Linked DNA regions of Mus musculus. The protein of the gene in region 3 interacts with the protein of the main gene of each other region in a pairwise test. Links are inferred from orthologs where the notes say so. Each region holds a gene or a part of one and is shown on either strand. Other genes may lie near its edges.

Region 1 (8,156 bases), on a different chromosome or scaffold from region 3:
GTTTCTCTTCTAAGGTGTGTCAAGTTTTCAAAACAAAACAAACAAACCAAAAAAAAAAAAAAAAAAAACAACCCACCATCATAACTGGCCCCCTGTCAACCTGACACACAAATGTAACACTATTAAACAATAAACTTCCCTTTTTCGTTTGTCCTCAAGGTCTCATTTTAATAACAACAGTGAATATTAAAGCATCTCAACTTTAAAAAGTTCCGACAGTCACTAAAAAAGTCAACACTTAAAAGTCCGACATTTCTTACAATATTCAAAGGCTCTCTTAAAAACTAAGTCTCTCTACCATTCCATGGTCTCTCAACTGTGGGCTCCTGGTGAGACTCCCTCCGTTTATGTTTGGATCCTGTAATGTGACATACAAGTGACAAAGGCAGCAAATGATAATGATGCAAAGGGATAAACTATAAATCGTGGAACACAGCATGCCACCACGTCCCCAAACTGAAATCTTTCTGTTCTTCCAGAGTCGGTCATGTGTCCTGGGTACTCTTCCCACCCCCATGGTGAGTGGATTCGTTATTTTCCTAACTGCTCTGGCAGAATAATTGACCAAAGCCATTTGCTGAAGAAAGGGTTTATTCCAGATCACAGGGACATCGTAGCTGTGAAGACAGGCAGCCCCTGGTCACCTTGCACCTGTAGTCAGGAAGCAGAGAGAGGCATGCGCTGATGTTCGGCTGGGTTTCTCCTCTGACTCAGTCTAGAACCCCAGTCTGTTGTGGGGTGCCACCCACATTTAGAGGAGATTTTTTCACCTCAACTAACCCAATCCAGAAAGCCCCTCACAGGCAAGCACAGAGGCCTGTATTCTAGACCATCCTAGAGCTTGTCAAGTTGATTGACAGTCAGTGTTAATGATCACAGAATCTGTTTAACATTGACTCTTCCGGCCCTTTAACCTGCTGGAGAAATAGCTACCTTGGGTTGAATATTTGTCAAGTCCCCTCTCCAAAAACGCTTGTATATTATTTCAGTCAATTTTCCAAAATTTCATCAAGTTGATGGTATATTTTCATTTTATAGTTAAAACATAATAATAATAATAATAATCATAATAAAAAGGCTTGGAAATCTCAAGTAAGTTACCCAAGGTGACCAACTGAACGAGGATTTGAACCCAGGTCTTTTGGGTCCAAAGTCTATACTTAGAAACATTAGCCTTTATTAAGTTTTAAAATATATGACCACGCTTCCTGACTTTCAGTTCCTATAATACAGTCACTAAAATTCCCCCCTTCCTATTTGAAAGCAAAGAGAATTATCAGAAAATAAAGACAGATTTCATCTAGGTTGGCCTTTTTGGTTTTGGCTTTGTTTCACCAACTTGACACAAGCTTAGAGCTACATGGGAAAAGGAACTTCCATTGAGAAAGTCTCCATCCATTTGTTCACAGGCAAGCCTGGAGGGCATTTTCTTGATTAATAACTGATGTGGGAAGGCCCAGGCCACTGTGGGCATGGCTACCCCTGAGCCTGGGCTGCATAAGAAATATCAATCTAATTGCATCTTTCCTCTCTCGGCTCGCACTGTCCAGTTTTGGGTCAGTTGCTGACACTAATCAAATCATTCTTTAATTTGTCTGCCATCCACTAATGCAGAAGAAAAGGCTGGAGAAAAAGACAGAAAGAAGTTGCATATGAATGTCAGCTAAAAGCAAGGTCAAGCTCTCGGGGAGTCAAGGAGAACCCACCCCTCTCCCGCCCCTTCACGCTGTCGCTAGCTAGTGGTACAGGAGCAAATTTCTGTGCAGCTACTCTGACAGGAGACAGAACAAAGCTGCCAAAGGTATGTGCTGCTTGTATAGGGTGTGCTTAAAAACAAAAACAAAACACAAAAAAAAAACCAAAAAAACAAGCAAACCTGCTCAGATTTCTCACACACACACACACACACACACACACACACACACGTTAAGACAGCTCATAAAACCATCTCTCGCATACAAACAAAACACTCCAAGTGTTCTTTTCAGCTCTGATCCAGCTCTCTTGCCTCCTGGCTCCTGAGCCCTGCAGGCCTCAGGGAAACTCTGCTGGTTTTTCTTTACCCATCTCAACAGCACAACCGCTTACTGTTTCAAACAGCTTTATGCTGGAAAGTTCCTGACAAGTTTGAAGCCATATTAAGCATTACCTATACACAGCAGCAGCAGCAGCAGGATGCCACCACCGCCCATATGATACAGAACCTACAGATATGACTCATTACTGACCAGATCGAATGCAAAAGCACAGGAAGGGAAGATATGAGCATTACAGTCTAGCTACTCTATATTTTAAGGGTACAGGACACATTTGTAATCCGTGTCATAGAAAGCAATCTGCACACACACACACCCTTTCAAGGTATGCAGTTCTGATTTAACCCTTCGGTCCAGGCGACACAGAGAGGCACGAAGGACTCAGCATCCTTAAGATGAGACTGCCATAGAGCAGTTCGGGCAATAAGGAGAGGTGACAGACACCATAGACCTCAGGGACTGTGTCTGGCATGGTAAACTGCCTTTGGCTGCAGCTGACTTACAAGAGGGCGATCAAAGGTGCGAATCTGCCTCCCTCTCGGATCACTGACTCTCTGCATAAACTATCACTTAAAGGTTCAGGTTCCAGCTAGAAAGATAGGAGATAGAAAGGGGCTGGGGCAGACAGACAGACAGACATAATGAGAGAGAGAAACTGGTTTCATAAATTCAGTTTTTATTATCAGGAGATTGACTTACAAAAAGAAAAAGTGCTTACACCCTTAATTTACTGAACAGCTACTGTGTGTCTGACAGGAAAACACCATAACCCAGTTTTGGTTCCTGCCCTGAGGAAGATAGGTGGGAGATCTCTCACACAGAGAACAAACACCACAGACACCAGATAAACCCAGGCAAGTACCTGCTGAGCTAGAGGGTCTCTTCCCAAGCTACCTGTCAAAGCAGCCTAAGAAAGGAGGGCTTTCTTCACTCCAAAAGGCAAGCCCACAGCACAGGCTGGTGGATTCCAGCCATGTTTGGTCAATACTCCAGCTAACACTCCCTGCCCTAAGTAAGTAGGCAATAAATCCCAGTCGCCACCCTACCACTTCCTGCAAAGTGGGACAAGTCACTTCCTGCATGGGTCGCTTCAACCTATCCTAGTCAAATGAGATGCACGAGGGGGGTGGGAGGTTGGAGGAATTAGTCACTGTGTTCTGAACGAGCCACGTAGTCTCGCTAGAATCTGTGAGCTTCCCACCTTTCTAAAACACTGGCAATCACTCCACTCCTTTATGAAGACTCTCTGTAAGCCACTCTGCACCTGAGAGTTGGACACAACAAATTCTGCTTACCCCAAATAAAAACCCCTGACCTCCCAAAGTCTCAATCTAACTATTGTTATTGCATAACAATAAAATGTAACCAAAAGGAGTCAGGGCTTGTACAATCAAACACGGAAAACTAAAGGCACTATAATACAGACCATGAAAGTGCAGAGGAGCAGGAGGCCCAGCGGAGCAGGGCAACCCCAGGAAGAAGAAAGCCCTGGGGTCTCAGTAAAGCAGTAGCGGTACTTTGTGAAGTCACAGGAGCTATCAGAAAGGCCAAACTGCTCCCATCCTCAGAAGAGCCCCCACCACCTTATCCAGACATAGGTGGAGAAGGGGAGGGAGGGTAAGGGCTAAGCAGCTCTACGGGAAGATACCATTTAGGACAGGGGGCACCTGGGAAGGGATGCGTAGGACTGGGGAGGATACATCAAGAAGTGGGCATTTGGGCCGGGCGGTGGTGGTGCACGCCTTTAATCCCAGCACTTGGGAGGCAGAGGCAGGCGGATTTCTGAGTTTGAGGCCAGCCTGGTCTACAAAGTGAGTTCCAGGACAGCCAAGGCTATACAGAGAAACCCTGTCTCAAAAAAAAAAAAAAAAAAAAAAAAAATGGGCTTTTGGTGAACCCGGAAAAGACCCTGAGGAAAGGGCAGGGGTACAAGACAGACCTGGTCACTGGGTCAGGAGAAGAAAAGATTATGGTGGGGAACACTGAAGAATCCCTGCAGAGACCCAGGGGGAAATGGAGGGGAGCTAGGCTAGACAGGACCCTAAGGAAGACTATGAAGGGCTGGGAGGATAGATCAGGAAGTGGGGAAGAGACAGACTTGGAGGAGGGAGTACAACCAGAATGTGGGACACTAGCGACAGGGGAGGAGTCAGGAGCTGGAGGGGAATACAATCAGGATGGGGACGCTAAGTAAGGAGGAACGTAGTAGCTGGGGGGCCGATGGGGGGAGGATACAATCAGGATGGGGACACTGGGAAGGGGTAGGAGGTGGGAAAGGAAGAGAACAGTCAGGGTAGGGACACTGAAGAGACAGGAGGGGAGGGGGGGATACAATTAAGATTGAGGACATGGGGGAGTGGGGAGGAGGCAGGGAGAGGCTGGAGTAATATAATGAGGATGGATACTGGGGAAAAGGCAGGAGCTAGTGTGAGGTGGAGTGTATCATCAGAACAGCAGACGTTAGGGACGAGGGAGGGGTGTGGGTCAGAATGGAGACACTCTGGAAAAGGAAGAGGGCAAGAGCTGGGGGGGGGGGGGGAGGCGAGGAACATTAGAGAAGGGGGAAGGAACAGGGGCTGGGGGGGGTGGTGTCACCGAGGAAGTGGGCGCGGCCAGCAAGGTTAGAGCTCCCCAGAGCCAGGCTTTGAGAGGGGGTATTGGCGAAGCGGGTTACCCCCGGAGGGGCGTGAGCGGGGCCGAATGGGGTACCTCCGACCGGGGAGGTCCGGGGAAGGGGTCGCACGCGGGCGCAGGGGGGCTCCGCGGGCACAGTCACCTGCGAATGTTCAGGCCGCCAAGACAGGGATCAGGCTGAGAGCGCAAGGTCGCCGGCTTCTCCTGCTTCTCCGCTGGACGCGCGAGTCCTGGTCCTGCGTCACCGCCTCGAGCCATGCGCATGCGCGCAAGGCAGGTGCCACCCGGGTGCAGGGCCGAAGCCAAGGCGTTGCTCTCAACCTGGGCTGTTATCTGCTCAAAGGTGGTTCTAAGTTTCTTGATCTTGGCCTCTAAACACAGAGCTTCGTAGAGAAAAGCGTGACAGCGGGAATGGGGGCAAGCCAAGGGCAAACTGAACCTGGGACCTCTCAGAGCCAGAAATGAAGACCTGCAGGCTTAAAAACCAGGAAGATGGAGATGTCAAAACTGAAACAGCAATCAAGGAACAAAACTGGAAGTCTTAGCAATAACTCACATAGAAATGTTATAGCTTAGAATATAAAATATAAGGATAAAAAAATAAATGAGGAAGGAGCCGGGGGGTGTTAGTAGGACTGTAATCTCAGTACTGGGGAGGCTTAGTCAGGAGGATAATAACTTTGAGGGCAGCTTGGGCTACATAACATGGCAGTACACAGCTGTAATCTCAGCATTTGAAAGATGTGGTAAGAAGATATAAAGGAAGGCCAAGATTATCTTTAGCTAGGTAGTGAGCTCAAGGTCAGTCTAAGGAAAAAAAAATACTCTTTTAATTATAGTGCCTTGTGTATCCCAGGTTTTTTCTAGGTTCTTGGTGTCTCAAACAATGACTTGCACAACACAGAATAAAGGTTGTCAAAGGGTACATTTATTTACAAAGAAAATGCATGGAATACACTCCCCAGAATGGGAACGGCCTGAGCAAGCATAAGACTCAAGACCCCCATGACCTTTTGGAGCGTTGTGAGTTTAAGTAGAGTGAGGAGCAGATTCCCTGCGTAGAAATTAGGTAGACCCTTTGCCCTGATTGACAGATGGGCTGTTAGGTAGCCTTGAGTTGGTGGGTCATACATCCTATAGCTTTATGCATGTGCCACACACACACACACACACACACACACACAAACACACACCGTGTTTACACCTGAAACAGTAAATAAATTTGTTACTATTTCACTTCAAGGAAAAACGTACCCTCATAACACGTATACTCAAAGCTGGTTTTAAATACACTTGTGTATCTGCTGTATCTGCCCTCCTACCAGGAAATGCCTAATCTCAAATTACCTACAGGAGAGATGGGTGTTGCCCTGTGGGAAGGAGACCGAAGGTACCCTCAGGTCATCGGACAGCCCTATGATCATTTACATTGATGGAGCTATAGCTGTTGTACTGATTAGTTTTTGTCAGCTTGACACAAACTAGGATCATCTGGGAAGGGAACCTCAAATGAGAAAAAAATCTCCATCAGATAAGTCTGGGGACTTTCTCTAAAGTGATTGGCATTGGGGGGCGGTGCCTATCTCAGTACAGGCAATGCAATCCTTTAGCAGGAGGTCATGGATTATATAAGAAAGCAGACCAGTAAGCAGGGTCCCTCCACGGTCTCTGCTTGAGTTCCTGCCTTGCCTTCCCTCGATGTCAGACTGTGATCAAGATTTATAAACTAAATAAGTCCTTCCTTCCCTAAGTTGCTTTGAGTCATGATAATTTCACAGCAATAGAAAATGCAGATTTTTTTCCTACTTTACTGCACTTATTGAATTTTCCTTTCATTTTAAATTACTTGTCTGTCTGTCTGTGTGGGAGTATGTATACACGGTGCAGGTTCCCATGGAGGCCAGAGATGTCCTTAAGAGCAGCCAGTACTCTTAACTGCTAGCTATCTCTCCAGATACCAAAATTTTCTTTAATGAATATATACAGAAGTGATACATATACATACATACATACATACATACATACATACCTTAAATAATAGGAAAAAGAGTTGTATTTGAATACAGTTTGAGTTAAATATGTTTTCCAGGAACTAGTGAAGAGGCTTAGTAAGTTTTCTAATTTAGTGAAATTGGCTTTGTGTTCTAACTCCTTGTCAAGAAGGAAGAAGAGGATTAAAACATGTTCTCAACAGGCCCACTATGTGTGAGTGAGCACACGCCCTCAGCAGGCCCACTGTGTGTGAGTGAGCACACGCCCTCAGCAGGCCCACTGTGTGTGAGTGAGCACACGCCCTCAGCAGGCCCACTGTGTGTGAGTGAGCATCCACTCTAGACCCTGTGTGTCTGTGCTGAAACTTTAGTTTCTGGTCTAAGCCCAACAGGAGGGGCCACTCGAGGATGTCATGATTGCATGATTTTATTCTCCACAGTACAATTTGTAGGATAGTACATTTAGTTTTATAAGAAACAGCTAGACTTTTTTCTGAAGGGATTATGATACTTTTTGTGCTTCCAGGAAAAAAAAAATGAGATTTTTGTTTTGCTGCAAAGAAAGCCTTCACAAACATTATCTTTCTCCTAATTCCCCCAACCTGCTCAGGTCCCACTCTATCCCAGCCTCACCACAGGTAGTTGGTGCTATTTGCTTTTGAATGATTTGTAAATTACACAATATTTTTACACTATATGTATTTCTCCTTTTTTACACAGTGTCCTTCAGCACAATCCTATGTCCCCATGTTGATCTATGGGAAGGCTCCTTGTTTCTTTGCTTTGCTTTCTTCTCTGTTTTAATTAGAATTTTTACCATATAGATGAACCAGGGTTCATTGAACTATCCCCTAGTAATGGGTACTTGGGTTGTTTGTGCTGGCAGGATGACACTGACAGGCTAGGGAGAGATTCATCTTGGCAGAAGGTGGCAGATCTGGGAAGTGGATAACATTTAAGAATACTGTCTCCCTGGAGGCATTCTATAGAGCTACTTTGATGTGGAGGCAGGGTTGTGTGCAGGCAGTCAGGTAGTGTCTCATGTCATGGTGCTCTGGCTGTTAGGTCTTATTAGGTAGAACACCTGTTCGGGGAATCGATCTCAGTGTGGTGGTGGAAATGTCCCTCAGGTATTTAAACACTCGGTTCCTTGGTGACACTGAGTCAGTTATGGAGTATTCAGGAGATTTAGCTTGGCTGGAGGAACTCTTGTCACTGGGGGCTGGCTCTTAGCTTCCTGCTCTGGCCACCAGATGCCACACATACCCTGCTGCCAGGGCCCACATTACAGACTCTAGCCTTCTGGAACTGTAAGCCAAAGTAAGTTCTTCCACAAGCTGCTTATAGGTGTGTTTTATCACAGGAACAAAAAGTCATGGATAACTCACTTTACTTTCCTACTGCTGTGAGAAAATAAGGTAGCAAAGCCAGGCACACTGGTGCATGCCGTTAAACACTTGAGAAGCAGACACAGGCAGATTTCTGTTAGTCTGGG
Region 2 (7,208 bases), on a different chromosome or scaffold from region 3:
GGAAACCCTGTTGGAGCAGTCAGACAGGTCCAAGGGCAGCTGGGCGCTAAGGAACCTCGGTTCTGTCTGTCAGCTTGTGGAAAACAGGGACCAGACCAACACCACTCTTAGGCCTCAGATACCAAGAGTTGACATGCTGCGGGGACCCAAGTGAAGCTTACTTCCAGTGAGGTCAGCAAGCCGAAAGGGTTATCTAGAGGTTAGTGCTCAGGTGGATGGGTGGAGGCCAAGCTCTGCCTGGCTCCTGAGGGCCACACCTTCATATCTACAACAATCCCTGCAGTCATCCTGGAGTCTCCGTCTACGCATCCTGACCTCTGTTCTAGTGGTAACCTGGGACCTAATGACACCAGCTCTGTGTCTACTAGTTCACCCGGTGCTTCTCTGGGTCCTGAGCTCTTGGACCCACTGTGCCAGCTACCAGCAGATGGAGAGGATGATCTCAGGGCCCCTCTGGGTGCCAGAACTCCAGACAGTAAACCGGAACTGGAGGCCAGAGACCCATCCGCTGCCAGGGCCCTGGAGTCAACTGTGGAAGAGCAGGAAGGTGAGGGGCAGGTTGTGGAGGAGGAGGAATGTCCCATCTGTGCTGAGCCTTATGGGCCTAGTGAGCACCACCTGACCCTGCTAAACTGTGGTCACAGCCTGTGTGTGGGCTGCCTACACCAGCTGTTAGGCATGACCCCCAGAGCTGACCTGGGCCGTGTGTGCTGTCCACTGTGTCGTCAGAAGACACCTATGCTAGAGTGGGAGATCTGTCAGCTGCAGGAGGAACTGCTTCGAGCTGATGGACCCCAGCGCCCAATGCGGACTGCATCCGTCACAGCCCTGCATCCTGGCCCTTGGCCCTGGGGTCCCTTAGAGCACCGCTACCAGCTGCGCTTCCTGGCAGGGCCTGTGGGAGGGCGAAGCTGTCTCCCCTTCCTGCCCTGCCCTCCCAGCCTAGGCACCTGGTTGTGGGCACTACGGGAACGTGGCCCCTGTGCCCGCCGCTTGTCACTGCTGAGCCTACTGGTCCTTGAACTGCTCGGGCTGGTGGTCATCTTCATGCCGCTCCTTTTACTAGGGGTGCTCTTCATGCTGCTAGACCGTTCCACCCACTAAGCAGAGCCCAGAATGCTGGCCAAGCTTTGAAGTCCATGCACGCTTGGATTCTGGTAATCAGCAAAGACTTGTTATCACCAATACCAAGACTATACATGCCTAAGAGCCTACGCCAGCCAGAGTGCTTACACACCCTTGCAGCCTAGATATTAGCTAAAGCCAAGGACACAAGGACAGCCTCTGAAGGAGCTTGGCCTGGCAGAAAGAGTTGTGAAAAGAACCCTATGTGCTTGCCATGGGCGGTCATCTCACTGGCCACAGGCAGAAGCTGGGCTATACCGCCAGCTCGTAGTCCAGCTGGTGAGAGTGGACACAAATGTGTGATTCCAACAGTGATTCTGTTTATCCTGAGATCTGTTCATTGGAGAAGGCAAGGGCTGCAGACTCTCACCTGCACCAGACAGAAGCTGGTGTGTGTCCTGAAGGCAACAGCAGCAGCCACAGTAACTACCAGGAGAGGCCTGCACTGCACAAGCCAGCCTTCAAAAGCTCCCACCCAACCTAAGCTACTCTCACCAGAGAAGGTAGCCCAGAGGAGCTGGGATCAATATTGCCTTTGTTTTGCAAGGGCCCATCCAGACCCTGAAGCCTCCAAATGCCCAAGGTCTAGCTCTGTTCCTAGTTGACTCTGCAATTCATGTCACTGGACCAGGAGCCCTCACTTGGGAGATGCAGACAAATCTAAGCTCACTTCATGGCTCATTGGTGACACAATGTAAGGTGTAACATTTCAGGCTGAGTCCTATATAACAAGCATAAGAAAGGCTCTCAGACCAGGCAGTGGTGGCGCACACCTTTGATCGCAGCACTTGGGAGGCAGAGGCAGGTGGATTTCTGAGTTCCAGGCCAGCCTGGTCTACAGAGCGAGTTCCAGGAGGACAGCCAGGGCTACACAGAGACACCCTGTCTCCCAAAAAAAAAAAAAAGTTCTCAATAAACAGTTGTTACTGATTCTATCATTACCTCTGCCATCCTCATTATTACTCCATCTCTGCCATCCAGGCACTCTCCTCACAACCCTTCAATGGTACCTGTTCCAGTCATAGGCAGATCATTTAAAAGACTGCTGGGTCCTTGGTCGTAGCCAACTGTAAGCCTCTACATATGCTGTCCAGAGGCTGTTTCCATACATCCTTGGCCAGAAGAAAAGTACGTGGGTTTTTTGGACAGGATCTCTTTGTGCAACCCATGCCGACTTCACAACCCTCCTGCTTTAGCTTCCAGTGTGCTGGGACTACCAATGAACTTCACCACACACAGCTAAAAGTTCTGTCTCCCTAGCTGGGCCCCATCTCCATGTACCAGTGTGTTCCCAGCTAGTCCAGACCTCCTAAGCAGTACACTCGGGCCAGCTTGCCCTTCCACAAGCAGAGCAAGCCAACCTTGAATGGAGCTGGTTCACCCTCTGGCAGCTCCTGGTTAGACCATGTTGGACTATAGCCTTGGGAACCTACCCTAGGTCCAGGCATGGGCATAGCCCACAGGAGTTAGCTTCAATCAGTGAACAAGTGCAAACTTTGGCAAAGAGTTTTAATGGCAAAGTTGGCTGCAGCGACAATGCCACGCAGGGTAGGGCCAGAAGCCACAGTGGGCAAGAAAGGGTCAGCGGGCAACAGGACAAAGCCAGTTCCCTGAAGAAGCGGCGAGCAAGGACCTGCAGGCAGTAGTGGGCAGGTGGACACTACATGATGGAACAGGCAGATAGTGGGTTCCGCACATGGCAGGTGCATGCAGCTCCACAGTACTGCCGGAAGGTCTGGTAGCAGCTGCCTTCAGATTCACCCCCCCACTGTCCACCGGATGGGGCAGTCAGGGCTTCAGGTGGCAAGCGGCTCAGGATGGATGTGTTGACAGCCAGTGCAGCCAGGCCATAGTCAGTGAAGAGCACAGTCTCACGGTGGCAGGTGGGACAGGAGATGAACTTGTACTTAGGGCAAGACTCATAAAGAATCTGCAGGCACTGCTCACACACGGAGTGCAGGCAAGACAGCACACGGGGCCGCCGTTGAGTGACGTTGTATGTATGCCCACAGGTGGGGCATTCCAGGGGCTCACCTGCTATCACTGGCCCAGACGATGAAGGTGCAGAGGCTGTTGGGCCAGGTCGAATCACATACTGATTTACAATGACCTCATCCACTGGTGCCACCCGGGGGAAGCCCAACTCAGAACTGCCTTTGCGGGGCCGCCTTGGCAAGGGTGGAGTGTGGGATGCTCCTTCCAAGGTAGGCATGTCCCCCCCACATGCCTGGTTGACAATGATCTCTGTGTCTGAGGGCCAAGCACGCTTGGGTGCCAGAGTGGGAGTGGGCCTGGGTGCAGGAGGGAAGCAGGGGGTGGCCGCCGGGAGCTCAGGGAACTTTTCAGGGTGGACAATCTTCATGGCCTCCATTTTGAGGATGACATGGGGGCCTTTCAGGCAGGACATGAGGAGGCCCGGCCATCCACTGCCCACCTCAGGCCCAGGGTCAGCTGGCATCCGGCTCTCTACAGTCAGACTGGACGTTGGCACAGGTGGGGGTGTTGGGTGGGGCCGTGGGGGAAGAGAAGGGGCTGCATCCTGGTCCTGCCAGGCCTGGTGAGGACCACGGTTACTCTGTGGACTGCAAGGGGCAGCCGGTGACAGCTTGGAGGGCAACCCCCCTCCCAGTGGCCACAATGGCTTATCTGATTCAGTCCGAAGAGGAGGAGGAAGAGGAGGGGGAGGGGGAAGCAGGCGGGGACAAGGGGGTATGGGTGGCTGTTTGGGGCTCTGGAGCTCACCCAGGGTCTCTGTCTGCTGAAGCTGGCAAGGGGGCGTGGAGGGGCCTCCTCCTGTAGCAGAGGTCAGCAGTCCCTGGGCCGGGACATCTGGGCAGGCAGGGGCTAGGTGGGCCCCATGGCTCCAGGACAGGGCGCCCAGGGAAGGCAGCTAGCCTGATCCCTGGCTGCCAGAGGACCTGGGCTGAAGGCTCCGCGGCAACAGCAATGGAGAGGCCTGCACCAGGCCTGAGCTGCGGGTGAGAGACAGCGTGAGGGCAGCACGGGGCCCACCTCACTCTCGCCCTTGCCCTCGCCCCCATCCTTCACAAAGGACAGAGTGCCCGACCTCTGACCCTGACCTCATCCGTGGGATCTCCACGGAACTCTGAACGCAACCCCCTCCCCAGTATACTCTCCGAGACCGGACTCACTGTCCGGAGGACTGACTATGAAAATGGAAAGGGGTGATGTCTCTGGCCCCCGCCCCTCCCCCTCCCACCCCCGCTCACCTGCCCCAGCCTGGCGTTCCCCGGCTGCGCCGCCGCCGCAGCAGAGGTTGTCTCAAAGGCAGGCCCGGATGCGGCGCTCACACCTTGCTCTAGTGACTCCGATAGCTCCCGCGGCTCCAGTGGAGACCTCGGGCGATGGCGGGCGCAGACAGCACCCAGGGCGCGAGCGCTGGTGCTGGACGCAAGGCTCGGCGTGGTGGCGGCGACAGCGGCGACGGCGGCGGCGGCAGGTGCGTGCGGAGCGTGGCGCGCTCTGCGGCGGAGGCGCGGGGACCGCAGTGCGCGCGGCGCCCGCCCGCGCCCGCAGCGCCACCCCCTGTCTGGGGACCCGCGCGGGGTCCACGGGGCGGGGCCAGTCTCCTAGCCGCCCCTCGATCTACGCCTGGTCTGGCGTCGGCTCCCAGTGTCGACCTCCCAGCTAGCTACCGGCTGGTCAGAATCCCCGTGCCGACAAGATTCCCTTGCCTCTTGGCTCATCCCCCGAGGGGCCAAACCCTCCCCCCCCCCCAAATTTTGTAAGGGAAATCTTCATGTTTTACTCCCTCATTTTGAGCCTCACAATGCCGAGCAGGGGTTCCAGCGTTCCACTTGTGTCTCAGCTACCTTTCGAGCTCTGAAAGGGCAGGGTCCTTTAACTTCAAACCCCGACACACCCCCTGTGTGAACGCCGGGAGTTTTCCAATTCACTGACGTATCCACACAAGGATTCGTCAAAGAGGGAGTTGGGACAGCAAAAGGGACAAGGGTTTGAGTGGATACCAGAAGAGTGGTCACAGGGAACTGGGGCAGTCACAGGAAGCTCAGAAGTTTCATGGACTGGAGATGGAGAGTTGGAAATACCAGGTATAGGTTGGCAGTCCGCGTGTAGGGTGGAGGGCCCACAGTGCACACTCACCTGCCTAGGGTGGGGTAGCCCTTTCTTGGATCTCATCAGGTCAGCACGTGCTTCTACGTCTCACAGTTATGTACTATACTGGCCCCACCCAGCAGAGGCCCCATTCCTTTCATCCTCCTCCTCCTACCTCATCCTCTTCTATCTGGGCTACACCTTTGCCTGGGGCGGGGGTGGGGAAATCCGTGAGGAAAACACTAAAGACACACTCTGATGACATGGTGTTTACATGTTCAGAATGCCCTCTCATGGCCACCATGCATAACACTGAGTCCTATGCCTGACCCTGGAAAGTCTAGATTTTCTTCAGGCTACAGCCCCTTTCTGTACAATTGGACGAATGGAACAGTGTTCCTTGAGAGCCAAGGCTGGGCCAGACTTTACAGTTCTGCGGAACCATTGGTCCACTTCAGGGCTCCTTCAGCAAGACAATGTGACAGGAGGCGTCGGGTGCTGAGTTGTAGAGGGGAGGCGTTCCGTGGAAACCTGTCACGCATGCATGATGTTGGCCAACTCAGATAACTGTGGACAGAGAAAGGAGTGAACCAGCCCACCCTTCCCGGGAGGGCTCGGCTCACTTACCCATTCACTCAGCATGCGCGCAAGGCCACCTACCGCCCCACCCTCTACCGAGGGTCCCGCCCCGTGAAACGAAGCCACGCCCCGTAGGAGAATAAGGTTCCTCCACCCCCACCCCCCAACTCCACGGCCGTTCTGAGCTGAGCGGTGTGAGCCAAGGATCAGTCCAAACCCGGTCCTTAGGAAACCCAGGAGCGCGGAGGCTTCTGGGGAATTAAGTTTCCACTGAGCACCTCGGCCTGGTTTACGCATGCTCCCGGCTAGGGGCGGAGTCTAAAGGGGCGATGAGCAAGATTGAGGGAGCTTGTGTAAACTCTGGTTTTCTCCTTTATTAAGCATGTTTCCCCCAGACCCATTTCCTTTTACTTGCTAAGTTGCTCGAACTCTTGTCTCGACCTGACTGACTGGCTCTACGCAGTCTTACTCAGTCACCCTAGCTTGCAGGCCCTGTCCTACTTGATGTCCTTCCTGGTGCTTTCCTGACTGGAGTCTGAGCCTGTCCCACTGGTTGCAGACCCAGGGAAGCCCACTGTTGTCTCTACCCTAGCCCCACCGTCACTCTTCGTGCCCTCTGTGGGCATGGAGGTGAAGCTGCAAAAGCAGAAGGGTGCCAGTGCCAAGAATGGGTGCTGGGAACAGAAAACGGCACGAGGGGGTCGGGGGGTTCTTTCATCCCAACTCAGCAACACAAAAAAGGAGCTGAAAATGTCACTGTGTCTGAAGTTCATGTAAGATAAGTAAAGTGTATCTGCGAAGTTGTGTCAAACTTATTATTAAAGTGGAAATCTTCCAAGTAGTTTTAATTGTCTTGTGCACTCAAACGTCTCAGTATGTGTTGGTGGCAAGGAGGAGCTCAGAACGGTGGCAGAAAAGATGTAAGTCATGGCTGGGTAGCCCCAGCACCTCTGAAGACCCCAGAATCTGAAGGCCTGCCTCTACTTCCTTTCTGGGGCCATGACCCAAGGAGGTAGGGCATGCTCAGATGAATCGTGATTGAGTCACCCCAGATTGGCAAATGCCCCTTAAAGTCCAAACCTTGGCCTCCACCCATCTGGGAATGAGGGGTGACTGGCTGCTGTGCTCTAGTTGTTGAGGCCTCTTGGGATCTTGGGAACCCCATCTTTAAGCTCCACCCCAAGGCCCCACCCCTCTCTAGGAGGGAAAAGGCACTTGCTGGTAGCTCTGCTCACCCGCACTGGGACCTGGAGCTGGAGGACTAAGAAGACAGACGGCTGCTGCTTGCCACAGGTGAGTCCTTGTCTAGACACTGACTTTACAGGTTCTTCCTGGGAAGCCCCTGCTCTCCCCTGGACGCTCATCAGTGCCTTCTAGCCTTTTGTCCCCATTCCAGCTACATCCTGGAGCATTTCTTGGATACTTGA
Region 3 (8,086 bases):
CTGGGTCCTCTGAAAGGGCATCCAGTGCTCTTAATCACTCAACCATCTCTCCAGTCCTAAGAAAAGTAAGTGCTGGAATACAGTTCCCTACTCAAATGGCCAGTCTTAAAAAAAAACAAAACAAAACAAAACAAAAAGACAAAACAAAACAACCAACTCACTCTGCACAGGAACCACTTACGACAGAGATGAAGGTCTTTAAATCCTGACAAATGGCCCATGAGACTTAGCAACTCACTGTTGACCGTTACAGGAGAAAGTGGTTTCCTCTCAGTCACATGATCCCGCGTCATGTTCACCCTCCGCCTGTCTTGTCCTGTATTTCAATAAATTCTTTGTCTTTTCCTGCCCTGGGTAAGGGTTTTTTTGTTTTGTTTTGTTTTGTTTTTTCTTCAAAATTCGCGCTGTCAGCTTCCAGATGCAAGTTTTCTAAATCTCCTTCTAAACTCCTTTCCTTTCTCTTCTGCCCTCACAGCTGGCCATTAATTCACATTTAGGTCACTCTACATTAGATTTTAATTTCTATGTTTTATGAAATGGAATCCTTTCTGCCGTGTGTATTATTCTTTTGGAAGTAGAGTCTTATGTTGTTTGGACTGGTCTTTAACTCCTGAGACCAAGGTTCTCCTGCTTCAGCCTTCCAAGTTCCTACAGCTATATTCTTATATATATCAGGAGGCTGTTATTGAACCTGGAACCACCTGCATCTAAGGGCCGCCTGTGTCTGCCTCCCTAGCTGCTGCCCTCTGCTGGGTGCTGGGTGCTGGGTGCCCAGGCTCAGGTTCTTATTGGTTGTAGAGCCAATGTTTTACCAGTGAGCCATCTCCCCAATCTCTTCCTTAAAGCTTATTTTTAAATTTAAATTTATTATTTATTTTTTTTAAAGATTTATTTATTTATTTATTTATTATATGTAAGTACACTGTAGCTGTCTTCAGACACTCCAGAAGAGGGCATCAGATCTTGTTACAGATGGTTGTGAGCCACCATGTGGTTGCTGGGATTTAAACTCAGGACCTTTGGAAGAGCAGTCAGTGCCCTTAACCTGTGAGCCATCTCTCCAGCCCCTATTAACTTATTTTTAAATTTAAATTTAGTATTGCTAATTTATGTCTGTGTGTGTAGGCACTTGTGGAGGACAGAGGGCAACTTTCAGAAGTTGGTTTCTCCTTCCACTATGGGTTCTGGGGACTGTCCTCAGGTGATCTGGCTTTCATGGTTTGTATTTTACCTGCTGAGGTACAGCAGCACCCACAAACACAGGTGCATACACAAACACGAATACTCAAAATGTAATTATAAAATGTTTTATGTTTTGTTTTTTTCTTTAAAAAAGACCCACATGACCATGTGACTTTTCTACTTAAAACTCTTCAGTGGCAAGTCAGGGTCCTCCGGACAGAAGGCGTGTTTCCACCCAGGCTCTGCCCTGGGCTCAGCACTGCCTGGCTCCTGCTTCCTCTTCAGCTTCATCTCCCACCAGTCCTGCCTTCTGTGATCTGGCCGCACTCTCTGAGCGCTATGGTATGAGTGATGTCTTCCTTTTCGCCGGGGATCTTCTTCACTTGTTTAGTGGCTATGCACTCCTCAAATTTCGTCTCAGGCATCATTTCCCCCGGGAAACCGTCCCTTAAGGAGAAGATAGTAGGCCCTCATCTATGTGCGCTTCCTGGCATCGCAGGTGTACTCGTTGTCTCTAAAGGCCGCACTACGATTACAGTGGCTTTTCTAGGCTGTTAGTTTCAAAATGGTGGAAGACTCTGCCCGCCTCGTCGCAGTTGTTTCTCTAGCACCTAAGATGGGGCCTGACACAGTGGGCATTCATTAAGTAGTTGCTACATTCCTGTAAGAAAGCGTGTTTGCTAAGTGAACAAACACCGATGCGCCCTGCTGTCCGGGACTGGAGCCAGCTGCTACTTAGCTCCACCTGGTGGAAACAGCAGCGGCCTGCAGCTCCCCATTTCCCGCGGGGTGCTCCTGCATCCCCAGGCCTTGGGTTCAGGATATTAAGCAAAGTATCAGGCACCTAGCATAGGAGCGATCGACCAAGCCGAGAGCAGCTATCACGTTCAGGAGTCAGCCCTAGGAGGGCCTGGATATTGAATTAACCTTTTCTTCATAAGACAGTGGTCCTTGGAATGGTTACCCCATAGCAGCATCTGACTTTTTAAATTTATGTTGTTGCTACTATTGTTTTTATTTCATATGTCTATGGATACTTTGCTTTAGTCAAGGAAATGTAAATACCACAGTCTTTATGATACTGATTTAATCCAAATCAAATTAATATAAATACTTAATGGGAACTTAAAAAATACCCAAGAGAGTTCCCTAACATCCTTTAGTTAGCGCAGCCTAGTTAGGGGATGCTCTGTGTGCTGACAGGAAACCAAAATGGAAATACTGACCCGGAACCTGGGAGGCCGAACACAAAACTCAAGTCTGTAACCTGTCCTTTAGATCAGTTTTTCTTTTCTTCTCGAATGTTTATTTTTATATGTGTGTCGGCGTGAACCCATGACACTCATGCGCAGGTCCCCAGGCTGAACTAGATCAGCCTCTCAGGCTGCTGTGCTTGCCGACTGGACGAAACTGCATTTACAGGACGCCACGCAAACTGTTAAATAGACACCTGACACACAAGCAAGGCCTTCGGTGTCGGACGAATCAGGAGTCCGTTCACCAAGGACCTCTCCCTCCAAAGCCTGCCCATCTACTTGACCACGCACAACACGAACTTCTGCAGACAGCTGCGGCGGTCGGTTCCTCTGTGCATCTATGAGAGCGCGTTCGGTTGCTCAGCAGATATTCTGGAACGAGGAAACGGGAAAAAATGTGATCACTGTCCTAAGAGACGTCGTCGCTACTCTTCTGGACAACTGAGCGCGGGCTAAACCACTCACAACATCTGTAGGGAGTTTTCAGGTCCCCGTAGGACGTGCCAGGCCAGGGTGCAGGTGCTGGCTGCGTCCCCTCAGCTTGTGCTGGGGCACGGTCTATCTCAGGACAGGGGGCGGGGCGCGGGGACACGGTCCATCTCCGAGCACGAAGCCAGGCGCTGGGCCCTCAACAAGAGGCCTGGAAGGACCAGAACGGCGGACAGGCTAAGGTCTGAGGTCTGGGCTGCGTCTCGCAGGCACTGTGGAGTCGTGACAGCCTGTGTTCACACCTGAATTTGGTGAGCAGAGGCGACTCACAGTGAGGAAGTCGCCCTGAGATGAGCTGACTCCGCTTTCTTTAGGGCGGGGCCGCGCAGAAAGGAGGAGCGCGCGGTGAGGGAGGGGTCGCGCAGGGAGGGCGGGGCCGCGCAGAAAGGAGGAGCCCGCGGTGAAGGCGGAGCGTTCAGGGAGGCGGGGCTAGCGGTGCGGTGAGGGCGGGGCCGCGCGGGAAGGAGTGGCTCGTGATAAGGGCGGGGCGCACGGTGAGAGCAAGGACCGCGGTGAGGGCGGGGCCGCGCAGAGAGAGCAAGGAACGCGGGGAGAGCGAGGAGGGCGGGGCCTCGCAGGGAGGGCGGGGCAATTAGTGAGGGCAAAGCGCGCGGTGAGGGCGAAGCCGCGCAGGGAGGGGCGGGGCCGAGCCCAGAGGAGGCGCGCGCCGTGAGGGCAGAGCGCGCGGGGAGGGCGGGGCTTCCGAGCAGAGCAGGGCCGCGAGCGCCCTCCTTGCCGCGACTGGCCGGCCTGCGAGGGGGCGGGGTTTCCGGCGGCGGCGCACTCGGGCATCTCCTGACGCAGAGTGGACGAACGTCACGTGACACGGAAGTGACTCCGAACAGGAAGAGGACGAGAAAAATAACCGTCCGCGACGCCGAGTGGGAGCGGACTCAGAGCCACCATGAACAGCAAAGGCAAGGCCGGGAAGTGGCGGGGGCCGTCGGGGAAGCGGGCGGGTTCGGGTCGAGCGGGCTGGGGGACGTCGGGCCTGGGGCGGTCTGTGCGGCTCTCTTCAGCGGGCCGCACAGCGCGGCCGCACCTGACGTGGCCGCCCCCCTCCACCCCCACAACGCAGCCGCTCGGCCCTCTGGGCCCCGACCCCATAAACCGTGTGGCGCAGTTTGGAGCCGCGGGCTCCTGTGTGTGGGGTGGGGGGGCTTTTCCGTGACGGACAGCGGCTGGAGCGAATGGCGAGCTAGAGCAGGGATTTGGGGAAGCCAATGGAGGGCGGGCGGAGGCGGGGCGCCGCGCCTCGGAACAACAGGCCTCGGCCGAGCTTAACTGCTGAGGTGCCGGCTCCGCTGCACGGCCCAGGCCCTCGAGGACCCGTTCTCGCCCGCCGGGGACTTCTGGCGCTTCCTCCTCGGGGCCCGGACTCGTAGCCGCCCCTGTGCGTTGCTAATGTTTGTGAGAACATGGTCGCGTTCCCCACCCCTCCACCCGCCGCCCTTCTCACGGTTAACTTCCAGTCACTCACTCTTTGGAGGTCGACCTTGACTAGGAACCCGTGAGGTAAACACTGAGAACCGTGGGTCCCACAGAGTCAGGACTGGTTACAGCACAGCCCGGGGGAGATCACCCAGAGGAGTCCCCTAAGACACCAGCAGTCCGGAGACCCCGGAACGGGTCCTCAGACCTGCCCTCTATTCGAAAGGGAACATGGCCAAGTTAGCCTCCATCAATCAGTATGCTAGTGGGAACGGCGCCTTCTGCCCAGTCAGAAGCCAGCACCTTCGGGCGCGAGGGTGCCGAGACCATCCTTATTTTCCTGGCTCTAAGAAATAAGGCAGCCTTATTTGCAGCTCTTCTGCTTGCTCCCCACCCTGTGCACCCTGGCCCGTCTAGTAGCTCTGCTTACAAACTTGTTTTTATTCAAAGTGTGCCTGCCTCTGCCTGTGTAAGTGTCTGTGAGTGTGAGTGTAGGTGCCCACCAAGGCAGAAGGTAGCGTTGAAAGGAGGTTGTGTCATATGTGGGTGCTGGGAATAGAACTGGGGTCCTCAGGAAGAGCAGCACTTTGTCTCACACACTGAGCATCTTTCCTGTTTGCCACCTCCCCTCCTAATCTGACAGACAACATCTCTCCTCCCCTTTTGTATTCCAGGTCAATATCCAACACAGCCTACCTACCCTGTGCAACCTCCTGGGAATCCAGTATATCCTCAGACCTTACATCTTCCTCAGGCTCCACCCTATACTGATGCTCCACCTGCATATTCAGAGGTACTGCAGTTTCCTAGACTTGTAGCTAGTTGAGAACACTCTTGGATCCCCTTGTTAAGTCTTCAAATCTGACTTCACAAGCAGAAGGATGCTCTGTGAATCATCTAGAACTTAAGGTGAAAATTACCATTGGAATTGAATGCAGTATCTGATTATGCTATTTGACACATGCTGACTTAAGCTGAGTTTGGGTCCCTTGAGCACAATAGTAGCTGTGGACGCAAATGACTCAGAATACTGTGTGCCAGTGACTATAACCAGTGTGTAATCTGCAAACACAAGAACTAGGAACAAGGGGCTAGAGAGATGGCTCAATGGTTAAGAGCACTGCTTTTCCAGAGGTCCTGAGTTCAAATCCCAGCAACCACATGGTGGCTCACAACCACTGGTAATGAGATCTGACACCCTCTTCTGGTGTGCCTGAAGACAGCTACAGTGTACTTACATATAATAAATAAATCTTAAAAAAAAAAAAAAAAAAAAAAACAACTAAGAATGGACTCATGAGCCATGCGTGGTGGTACAGGCGAGTAGTCTCAGCATTGAGAGGCTGAGTCAGGAGGAAGCTGAGTTCAAGGCTGCCAGTATAACCAAACCCCATTTCCAAAACCAAACAAGGGGCTGGGGATGTACCTGATTTGGTAGAATGCTTGCTTAGCATGCACCAAGCCCTAGATTTGGTCCCTAGCACAATGTGAACTGGGTTTGGTGGCACAGGCTTCTAATTCCATAGTCAAGAGGTAAAGCAGGAGAGTCAGGAGTTCAAGGTCATCCACTCCTACATACTTGAAGGCTAGCCTGAGCTACAGGAGATGGTCTCAATAATACTTAAAGAGATTCCAAATAGGAATGTCACAAAAATAATGTTTTGCTTTCTCTTCTGCTTCTTTCAGCTCTATCGTCCAAGCTTTGTTCATCCAGGGGCTGCCACAGTCCCCACCATGTCAGCTGCATTTCCTGGCGCCTCATTGTATCTGCCTATGGCCCAGTCTGTGGCTGTTGGGCCTCTAGGCTCCACAATCCCCATGGCTTATTATCCAGTTGGTCCCATCTATCCACCTGGCTCAGCAGTGTTGGTGGAAGGAGGGTATGATGCAGGTGCCAGATTTGGAGCTGGTGCCACTGCTGGCAACATTCCTGTGAGTATGCCTAACTGGGAGCTCAGCCCTTGTATACTTGAACAGTCTGAAATGACTTCATATTCATTCTCCAACCATAGTGGTCAGGGCTGGCACAGCTGCTGCCCTCTCAGAGCAGAAATGTGGCCGGGCCAATCAGGGCATTGGACACAGCCCTTGGTTTTAGAGTTAATCAGGTTGATTTGTTTTCTTGTCTTATTAAATTAGTGGCATCTTCCTTTGATCCTAGCACTTAGGGGCAGAGACAGGGGGATCTCCGAGTTTGAGGCCAGTCTGGTCTACAGAGCGAGTTCCAGGACAGCCAGGGCAACATAGAGAAACCCTGTCTATAAATTTAAAAAGACTGCTAGCTCCTTTTTCAGTTGTTCAGGCACAGTGAACTGGTCCAGGGGTGCTGCTTGGTGAGTTCATAAGCATTTAATATTTGCCATGAGTGGGGAATGTACTAGGAACCCAGATGATTAAGAAAGTAGAATGCACGGTCCCTAGTAAGTAGGTTTTATTTTCCAGGTCCTCCTGCTCAGTGACACTGTGTATGGGGTTTGTAGCCCACAAGGTTCTAGCAAAGGGCATCTTCTTAGGAGTCATTCTAGAGTGAGGTGACTAGAATGGTATCATTATTGGCTTTTAACAATGTTGTATGTTAAAAACCTAGGGTTGCTGAAGATGTAGCCCACTAGTAGAGCATTTGCTTATCTTGTACAAAGGGCTCTCCCCCTCCCTGGTAAATAAAACCCCACATTCACAAGAGATCCTGTGGGGTGGGCGTGGCTCTCCCTGAGAAGGATGGGATCTGGATTTACAGGCTACATCTTAGAGCTAGAACACTCTGGGTGAATGACAGATTTCCTTTCCTGTTTATGTCCTGGATTCAGAGAGAGTAGGCATGCTCTAGAACAAACTGTTGCAAACTTAGCTCCTTAAAATGCTGGTTGCTTGGTACTGTAGTACACTCGATAATCTTAACAGTGGGGAGGTTGAGGCAGCAGACTTCCTTTGAGTTTAATGTCAGTCAGGGCTACATAGCATGAACCAGTCAAGTGAGAGTTACTCAGACCCTGGGTGGACCTATCCCACTGCCTGCAAAAAAAAAAAAAAAAGAAAAAGTTACCGATTGGCACATTGCCATCTTCTTACGCAGCATCTGCTTCCTGTGTTCTTTCCCTGTGCCCACTGTACCTTGTTCTTTCCTTCTAGCCTCCACCTCCTGGATGCCCTCCCAACGCTGCTCAGCTCGCAGTCATGCAGGGAGCCAACGTCCTTGTAACTCAGCGCAAGGGAAACTTCTTCATGGGTGGCTCAGATGGTGGCTACACCATTTGGTGAGGAGCCATGGCCACTCCTGTGCCGGGGAAGACATCACATACCTTCAGCACTTCTCACAATGTAACTGCTTTAGTCATATTAACCTGAAGTTGCAGTTTAGACACATGTTTTTGGGGTGTCTTTCTGGTGTCCAAACTTTTGAGGCACTTTTCAAATTTAATAAGGAACCATGTAAGGGTAGCAGCCCCTCCCTAAAGCATTCTGAGGTAAGGAGGTATCCATTCTTCAAATGAATGTGAGTGAAGCAGCCCAAGGCTCTTCCTTAATTCCTCTGGAGTGATGCTGTGCCATGCTGGTCTTTGCTTCTAGTAATAAAACATCAAATTAGGTTTGGAGGGAACTTTGATCTTCCTAAGAATTAAAGTTGCCAAATTATTCTGATTGGTCTTTAATCTCCTTAAGTTTTTGATTTATCTTACTTGGTAAATGAAATGCATTAGCTGTCTGCCTTTTCCTTCCCATCCTCTGCC
Region 4 (8,125 bases), on a different chromosome or scaffold from region 3:
AGACCCACAGTTCATTTACTGTGACAGCTAACGAAGAGATGACAGGAAAATAGAAAATTAGTCCAGCTCGCTTAATGACAAAGCCATTTAATTGGTATTACCCTAAATTGGTACCCTGACTAACCAGTGGGTTGGAAACTATTTTAGTTCAATGTATGACTCAAGAGATTTTATCTCCTAGCTAGAAGATGCTGGGATGAAAAGCTCCACGTGGCAGCAGTCCAAACATGTTCCCCACAGCACTACTAGAGTCACGGTCTGGGCATTTTGCTGCAGAGCTCACTCTAGCATGGCAGCTCAGGAAAAAATTCATTTCTGAGCCAGGTGGTGCAAGGTACTCTGCTACAAAAATAAACAAGAAAGGGAACAGATAAGTACATATGCCTCGAGTATTATGAATTTTTTCTTTATTGCTCTTTTGTTTGTTTGCTTGCTTGCTTTAAAACAGGATCTCCTGTAACCTAGGATAGCCTAATGTCCACTATGTAGCTGAGGCTAGCCTTAAACTCCTGTGCTACCTGCCTCCATCTACCAAGTGCTGGGGTCACCTATGTGCCACCATATCTGGCTTTGATGAATCCTTTTTATGTAGGATCAGCTAAGTTACAATTTGGTGAGAAAACAACTTAATAACTTAAAGCAAGACCTTTTGTTGTTGTTGTTGTTGTTGTTGTTACTCATTACTTCTGATCTTTTTCTGATTAGTGGCGAGCTCTTGCTAAATTCAGGCTTTGGTTACAAAGCCTAACCTGGAACTTCTAGGGCTGCCCTTGCAGGGACCAGGAGCAAGGGCATGTTCTCTACAGTCGGTGCTTCAGTCTGTCTTGACTGTCTGTCCTTTGTGGATAGTGTGTTCCAGTCAAAACAGCAAATTAAGGCTTCAGACATAAAGCGACATATTTCTGCTTGGCCCATTGACTATGTCTGACTACAAACAGATCAGGAAATAAACCCTATCATGGACTGATAAGGCCAAAAGCCAGACATATTTAGCAATAGGTGTTGATTGTCTACCACTTGTTTTGTGCTGAGAGTTGTTCTAAATGCGTTGCAGGTTTCAGCCCTGAGAAGCTTTGCATCAATCCCAGGAAACAGGTAGTTAGCACCATTATCATTCCTACTGCATACATGAAATACCAAGGCAAGAAGTTAAGCAACCTGCCAAAGCCACACAAACAGAATTCAAATTTTGGATCTCAGCCCAGGTGATCTGACCTCATGGTATATGTGCCTCGTCTCCATACTGTGCAGCCAAATGGAAGGAAATGAGAAGCTGTCAAAGGCTTTTTCAACGGGTGAGCATGGTTAAGTGAGATCCTCGTACAAGAGGAGTCAGGTGGAGCAAAGCCACCCGTGAATGACTCCAGCGCCAGAAAATTGGATGCCCTTTTCCTGGACTCCAAGGGCACCTGATCTGTTATGTGCAGACCCACATATAGACACACATACACATAGTTAAAAATTAAAACTAAATCTTAAGGCCAACATATTGCAATGCCTCTAATCCTAGCACTCAGGAGGCAGAGGCAAGCAGAACTTTGTGAGGTCAAGGCCAACCTGGACTACAGAGTGAATTCAGGCCACCCAGGGCTATATAGGGAGGCCCTGTCTCAATAAAATCAAATAAAAATTTAAAAACGACTAAGAGAATATCAAATCTGATGGACCTGTCTTAGGAAAATACTATATGAACTTGGACGTTTATGAAAGTAAGTTCTTTGAGACTTCACTGGAATGAAAAGGTTTGGAACAGGAATAAATTATTCTGATTAATAATGTAACAAATATTTTAATTTCCCTTTATAATATATAAATATTATATATTACAATATATAATAAATAAATATATAATATAAACATTTTGAGGGGAGCCTGGTCTTGGGAGAAAGTAGAGATGAACAAGACTGCTGTCTTAGAGGCAAATAAACACTTTGTCTTGCTGGCCTCCCTGGTCTATTACTCTAGCCTTCAGAAGAATCCCTTAAGAGCAAATATCAGGAAGTAGCGTTCTCTTCCCCTTTAGCACATCCTGTTTTTTCTCAGTCTCTTTTAAGAATTTGATGAGTGAAGGGACGGAATGCATACACAGGAAGATGGCCGTGGGTTCAAGACACTATTTGTAACAAGAGAGGCTTTGGAAAATAATACCTAATAACCATTTTTAAGTAGCTGCTTATTCCATGTTACCCTATAACTGGCTCTCCCCCAAACAACCTGAGAGATGGCTCAGCAGGTGAGAGAGTTTGGTAATCTCTCATAGGACCCTGGTTCCTTCCCCAACACCCACATCACACACCCTCATCCATCAGCTGAAACTCCAGCTTCAGGTACTGCAATGCCCTCTTCTGGCCTCCTTGGACACCTACACACACACACACACACACACACACACACACACACACGCACGCACGCACGCACGCACGCACGCACGCACACGCACACGCACACGTACGCACTCACACACGCACGCATGCACACACACGCAAGTAAAGGAGGCTAGGTATGGTGGCACATACCTTTAATCCCAGCACTTTGGAGGCAGTTCTCTGTTAGTTCGAGGCTATCCTAATCTACAATATAAAGTTCCAGGCCACCAAGGGCTACTTAGGAAGAACCTGTTCAAAAAAAAATTTTTTTTAAAGGAAAGAAAAGTTCTGCCTAGACACTAGTCAGAGCGATGCTCAAAAAGGGCAGTAGTCACAGAGAAGACTAATGTATATCAGCGGCAGGAGGCATTCCAAGTTAGAAGTGATCACGAGGGAGGGTGTAATGTCTCTTTAACTCGGGTCAGAGGGTGAGTCCTTTTGTCTCTTGAAGGAAAGACTAACCTAAAGGAGTCTGGGATAGCCACAACCCTTGTATTATATAAGGATAATAAACACACATCTTATAAAGGTTGCTGTGAAGAGCATACTGTGATAATTGATAGAAAGCGCTTAGAGCAGTACATGGCACACAGTATGAGCTCTGTAAATGTTGGTCGTTCCCTTCACTTTATTCTCTTCACTCTCCTCCCTCTCCACCCGGCTTCATTCATTCTTTTCCAAGGGCACGCAGGGGGCGTGTCCTCCCTCCCGCCGCTTCCACCTAAGCCCCGCCCCCGGCTCTTCCCGGATTGGTTCCTAGGAGGCGGAGCCAAGGGGAGAGCCCAGTGCAGCGCGGTGGGCGGGGCGCATGCGCGGGTTGGGCTGGGTGGAGGAGGAGAGGAAGAGCTGCCGGAAGTAGGCGGTGGAGGTGGCGGCTGAGCTGGTCGCAGCTGCCAGGGAAACCGAGGCGGGAAGCACAGCGGGCAGACCCTCAACACTCGGGGTCAAGTGTGCGTCCCGCACGCCTGAAGCCGGGAGCTCGCTCCACCTAGGCCACTTCTGGGGTCCCGCAGCCTCCGCGAGTCCCTGCCTTGCCCGAAGCCCGCCAGGGGGCGCCGCGCTGAGGGGCTGAGGGGCTGCGGGGCGGGGGCGCTGACGGCTCTGACCCCGGGGCTGCTCCGGGCCGGGCGAGAGGACCGCCTGGGCGGGGACCCCAAGGCCTCAGCCCCGGACAGAGGCAGGGGTTCTTGGGGGGTGCAGGGGGCGCGTCGCCCTCTGCCCCCGCCGGCACCCTGGCCATGACAGGCAAGTCGGTGAAGGACGTGGATCGGTACCAGGCGGTCCTGGCCAACCTGCTGCTGGAGGAAGATAACAAGTTCTGTGCTGACTGCCAGTCCAAAGGTAACGCATCCGGGGCGCCGGCGGGGGGCCAGCTGCGGGGCGGCGGCGTGGCGATGAGCTGCGATGGCCTGAGTGGGGAGGGGGTTCTGGAGCTCAGGGCGAGTCCTCTTCGTATGACCACGCGAGCCACCCTCGCTCATGAGCTTGCTGGGTTTCCTCGGGCTTGGGACTTGGGGTTTGGTGTGGGCGAGTGTGTGTGTGTGTGTGTGTGTGTGTGTGTGTGTGTGTGTCAGCGAAGTGGGGATGATATAGTGGGGGGTGGGGTTGCCCGGTGTGTTCAGGTGAGACTGTCTATGTTGCAGACTCTGAATGGCTTCTGGGCTCGCTGTCATGCAGAGCTGGCAGCCTTTTACTTGGCAAAGCTGTGGGTGAGCTGCAGTGTGGTGGGGGTGGCGGTGGGGGTGACGAGGAGGAAGGTGAGATGACTAAGAGAAAAACTGTCGAAATGATATTTAAAGGTGGCATTCCTTGCTGTCTGCTATGTCGTTAGCAGCTCCTGTCATTTTACCACCTTGTTGAGCTCAGACCGAGTGCTTAGGTGGCTTTCTTCACCCAGGTCGTGTGCACTGAGAAACAGCTACCTTATGCAGTGACACAGTGCGGATTTCTAGGTAGTCTAGCCTGGGTTGTGGAGGCCTCATGCGTGTGTGGTGAGCGAAACTAGCAGACCTGGACTGTAGTGCAGGACCCGTTCAAGCAGGGAGAAAAGGAAGCAAGGAATTCCCCCAATTCGTTATTTCCCTGGTGATTACACCTTTAGAGAGGAAATAGAAATTGGCCACAACCACTTAGCCTTTGTTTTCTGTGTCTGTAAAGGTTCATGCTGTGTTACAATTAAAGGTCAATATGGTAGAAAATTTACTAGTGAATTCTGTACAGCTTTGTAGGTAGGAGCAGCTATAATTGGGAGGGGGTATTTACTTTAGTTCATTTCCTGAATTTGCCATGTAGCATATGGGTATAAAGTAGTATAAAGCATTCAGATGTGTGTGTGTATTAATGTTGAGAAAAGCAATAGATACTTAGCCCATACTTCATGTGATTATGGTTTATTTTAGAGTAAGGTTATGTAAGGAGGGCGCAAGAATGATGATGCATTGATTTAGACTCCTAGTAATAAATTTTAGTGACCTCTATCAGTAGGCAAATGCAGTGAACTGTCAGCAAAGCAGGTCCCCAGACTTCTCTCGAGAATTTTTGCGTTAACAGGAGTTCAATTTATGTTGAGGAGTCGAAATTTCTTGTAGCTTGATTCTTGTTAGATCTACTGGAAGGTTTGGTTTACAGTGTAGGAGCACCTTTGGTCTACTCAAATCCTCTGATGTCCTCATTGACAATTTTAAGTCGCAGCGAGGCATCCACTGAGCAGAAACCATTGTTGATGATTTTTAGAACCGCCCCCTCCCCTGTACTCATGTTGTTTGTATGCTTACTCATCCCAATAACATATACCATGGGGAAGAGACACGTTAATTTACCAGGTCTTCCTCCAAATCTCCCATTGCCCTTTATTAATAGCCTTACTAGATATAATCAGACATAGAACTTCGTTAATTCCTGATGAGAACTAGTAACTGGGGCCTGCGATAGGGCTCAGTGAATAAAGGTGCTTGCCACTAAGACTGACAACCTGAGTTTGATCCCCAGGACTCACAGGGTAAGAGGAGAGAACCAGCTCCCATAAATTGTCTCCTGACCTCCACGTGGACTCTAGTACATACATGTACAATCTCCACAAAGTTAATAATTAAGATGTAAAAACAGACGACACCAACAACAAAGCCTAGTAGCTGTCTGCCACTGATACTAAAACCTTGGATCCTGAATGTTCTGAAGTTAGAAATTCTCTTCAACGCGTTTGCCACTATTAAAAAAAGAGATGCCCACGTGTCCATTATCTTTCAGTTCTGTCAAACAGGCTTTTGCAGAGGCCTGTTTATCTAGCTGCCGAATGTTCAGCCCTGTCTGCCGGTTAACCCCTCCTTCATTCTCTTCCTCTTTTCCACTTTCAGGTTTTGTGATGAACTCGTAGGCAGTTCTCAGAGGGTAGGAAAGAGAGATATTTGCATTAGTAGATCATGACCTGCTCAGCCCTGATAAAAAGGACCAGCAGTTGGTGGAAGAGTTAGAAGACTGTTCACTGAAATAAGATTTGAGTTTGAGTTTACTTTTCTGTTTTCCTCTTGTCCTTTTCAGAAAATTGAGAGCTCACCAGACAAGGTCTGGAGAGTTCATCTATTAGTATTTAGTGTATTGATGTTGCCTGGACTACAGACCTCTAAGTGGATACTTTTGTAATGTTCCAAAATAGCTCTTTGGCAATGAATTCTCTTTTTTAAAATTTAATATTATGTTTTAATTTATTTATTTGTGTGTGTGTGTATGTGTGTGTGTGTGTGTGTCAGAGAACAACTTCCACCATGTGGGGAATGAACTCAAATGGTCAGGCCTGCTGGCAAGCATCTTTCCTTACCCACCGAGCCATCTTGTCACCTGATGTTTCTATTTATTTATTTTCAGGAAAAATTATGTTTCCTAAACGTTTTATTTTTATTTTAAATCATATGTATATGTGAGTGCAGTGTCCATGGATGCCAGGAGAGGGTGTTGATCCCTTGGAACTGGACTCACAGGTGATTAGGATTCATCTGAGGTGGGTGCTGGGAACTGAACTCAGGCCTTTTAAAGAACACTATGAACTCTGATCCACAGAGTAACTTTTCTAGTCCCCTGACTCTTCTTTTTAAAATCATGTTTAGGAGTGATACTTGTTAGTTGATCCTTAAAATAATGTCATTCAGCACTGGGATAGAGACTAAGCAGGCACCTTTCCCTTTATTCAGTAGAAGGCCTGTTGAGTCAGGTTTCCGAATGTCCTGGACTGCTTTGACACTGCTTTGTATTAAAAAAAAAAAATGCCAATGCTTAGTGGTTGTGGTGCGTGTCATTAGTCCCAACTTGAGAGGGGAAGGCAGGGGGATCTCTGTGAATTAGAGGCCAGTTGGTCTCTACAGTGAGTTCCAGGACAGCTAAGGCTGTTACATAGAGAAATCCTGTGTCAAAGACAAACAAAAAACAAAGAAGTCACAATTTAAACCATCTGAGGTGGCTACCCCTGTAATCCCAGCACTCAGGAGCTGGAGGCAAGGAAGGAAGATAAGAAGTTCAAGTTTGAGGCTAGTCTGGGCTATGTGAGACCCTGCCTCAAACAGTTCCCGTTCCCAAATGCTATGACTTATTCTTAGCACAAAGTGCAGTTTCCTTGTCATGACAGCTTGCAAAGTAATACCTACATGGACTGATCTCAGCAATGATAAAGTTAGAGGGTGTACCAATGTTGATAAATGATTGATAAATGAGGAAAAACTAGTGTAAGAGCCAGGTATGTCTCTGGTAACTGGCTGCTTGAGACCTGGCTCCATCATACTTCCATTGTACTTGGGGTCACAGTAGCCCAAGGCTGGGCCTTTAGCTCTGCAGCTCCAGATGTTTATGAATGTGTTGGCATTAACCCATTCAGAGACTGGTGTCAGAGGGTCCACCTTTCTGATGACCTGCGTACTCCTGTGCACCATTGAGACATTACCAGCGTCAAGGTTTGGGAGAAGCAGAGAGCCGTTTAATGAGCAGAGAGTAGACATGGGAGACATGACAGTGTCAGGGAACATATGAGTGACACTGAAGTGCCTCGTGCAGCTCTGCTGTCTTGAGAGCTTTGTTAGTTTTTCCCGGTCCCCTTCCATTACATCTTGTCTATGAAATGTTTCCCCTCTAATTACCTAACCACTGCCTCTGTTTCATCTTCTCTATATATTTTCACTTAAGTAGATTTCATGTGGTTTGAAATTCAAAAAAAATCGAAAAGACAACAGAATGAAAAATCATTGTCCTAAGGTGACCCATAGCCACCTTTGTTCTCTTCCTGAGTATAACCACTGTTGGCCATTTCTTACCTGCCCTTGTCCTATGTTTGAAACAGGCTGGCCTTGACCTGTAGCTGATTAAATGAACTCCTGATCTTCCTTCTTAAATTCCTCCTGTTCTACCTCCCCAAAGCTTGCACTGCCGGCATGCAGCCTTGTCCCCAATTTCTTAACCTGTATATCTGAGACGAGTTTACATAGTTTTGGCTTGCCTGGGACTTGCTGTGTAGACCAGACTGGATGCAAACTTGCTGTGATCCTCCTGTCTCTTCCTCCCAAGTGTTTTGCCTCACCTGCCTTTCATTTTAAATGTATGTGTGTGAGGATGTACATGTCTCACATATGTACCTATGCATGTGCACTTTGTGTAGAAGCTTGATGTCGACATTGGGTGTTTTCCTCAGTCAGTCTCCAGTTTTTATTGGGGAAAATCTGTTACTGATTCTGGCTAACCTAGCCACCTTGTTCTGATGATGCCCTGTGTCTGCCTCCTGT

Evidence for each region. The genes of interacting proteins can lie anywhere in the genome.
Region 1: the proteins of Dazap2 (region 3) and Plekhb2 interact in binary tests that used the Homo sapiens proteins (3 or more experiments, as listed by UniProt). The two-hybrid records come from large-scale screens. The link is inferred for Mus musculus from reciprocal best matches to the Homo sapiens genes DAZAP2 and PLEKHB2.
Region 2: the proteins of Dazap2 (region 3) and Rnf208 interact in binary tests that used the Homo sapiens proteins (3 or more experiments, as listed by UniProt). The two-hybrid records come from large-scale screens. The link is inferred for Mus musculus from reciprocal best matches to the Homo sapiens genes DAZAP2 and RNF208.
Region 4: the proteins of Dazap2 (region 3) and Smap2 interact in binary tests that used the Homo sapiens proteins (3 or more experiments, as listed by UniProt). The two-hybrid records come from large-scale screens. The link is inferred for Mus musculus from reciprocal best matches to the Homo sapiens genes DAZAP2 and SMAP2.

What each region holds. Positions count from the first base shown.
Region 1 is NC_000067.6:34,846,720-34,854,875, reverse strand, and holds the start of Plekhb2 (pleckstrin homology domain-containing family B member 2), read right to left. Parts: upstream 4,918-8,156; 5' UTR 4,813-4,917; intron 3,800-4,812; exon of another isoform or gene 2,899-3,799; intron 2,652-2,898; exon of another isoform or gene 2,540-2,651; intron 1-2,539. UniProt on the Homo sapiens protein: Involved in retrograde transport of recycling endosomes.
Region 2 is NC_000068.7:25,239,671-25,246,878, reverse strand, and holds Rnf208 (RING finger protein 208), read right to left. Parts: upstream 3,951-7,208; 5' UTR 3,584-3,950; coding exon 2,786-3,583; 3' UTR 2,618-2,785; downstream 1-2,617. Other genes in the region: Ndor1 (NADPH-dependent diflavin oxidoreductase 1), read left to right, coding at 284-547, 730-1,104.
Region 3 is NC_000081.6:100,611,881-100,619,966, forward strand, and holds the start of Dazap2 (DAZ-associated protein 2), read left to right. Parts: upstream 1-3,781; 5' UTR 3,782-3,831; coding exon 3,832-3,844; intron 3,845-4,169; exon of another isoform or gene 4,170-4,442; intron 4,443-5,032; coding exon 5,033-5,151; intron 5,152-6,044; coding exon 6,045-6,290; intron 6,291-7,487; coding exon 7,488-7,616; 3' UTR 7,617-8,086. UniProt on the Homo sapiens protein: In unstressed cells, promotes SIAH1-mediated polyubiquitination and degradation of the serine/threonine-protein kinase HIPK2, probably by acting as a loading factor that potentiates complex formation between HIPK2 and ubiquitin ligase SIAH1.
Region 4 is NC_000070.6:121,012,331-121,020,455, reverse strand, and holds the start of Smap2 (stromal membrane-associated protein 2), read left to right. Parts: upstream 1-3,208; 5' UTR 3,209-3,604; coding exon 3,605-3,707; intron 3,708-8,125.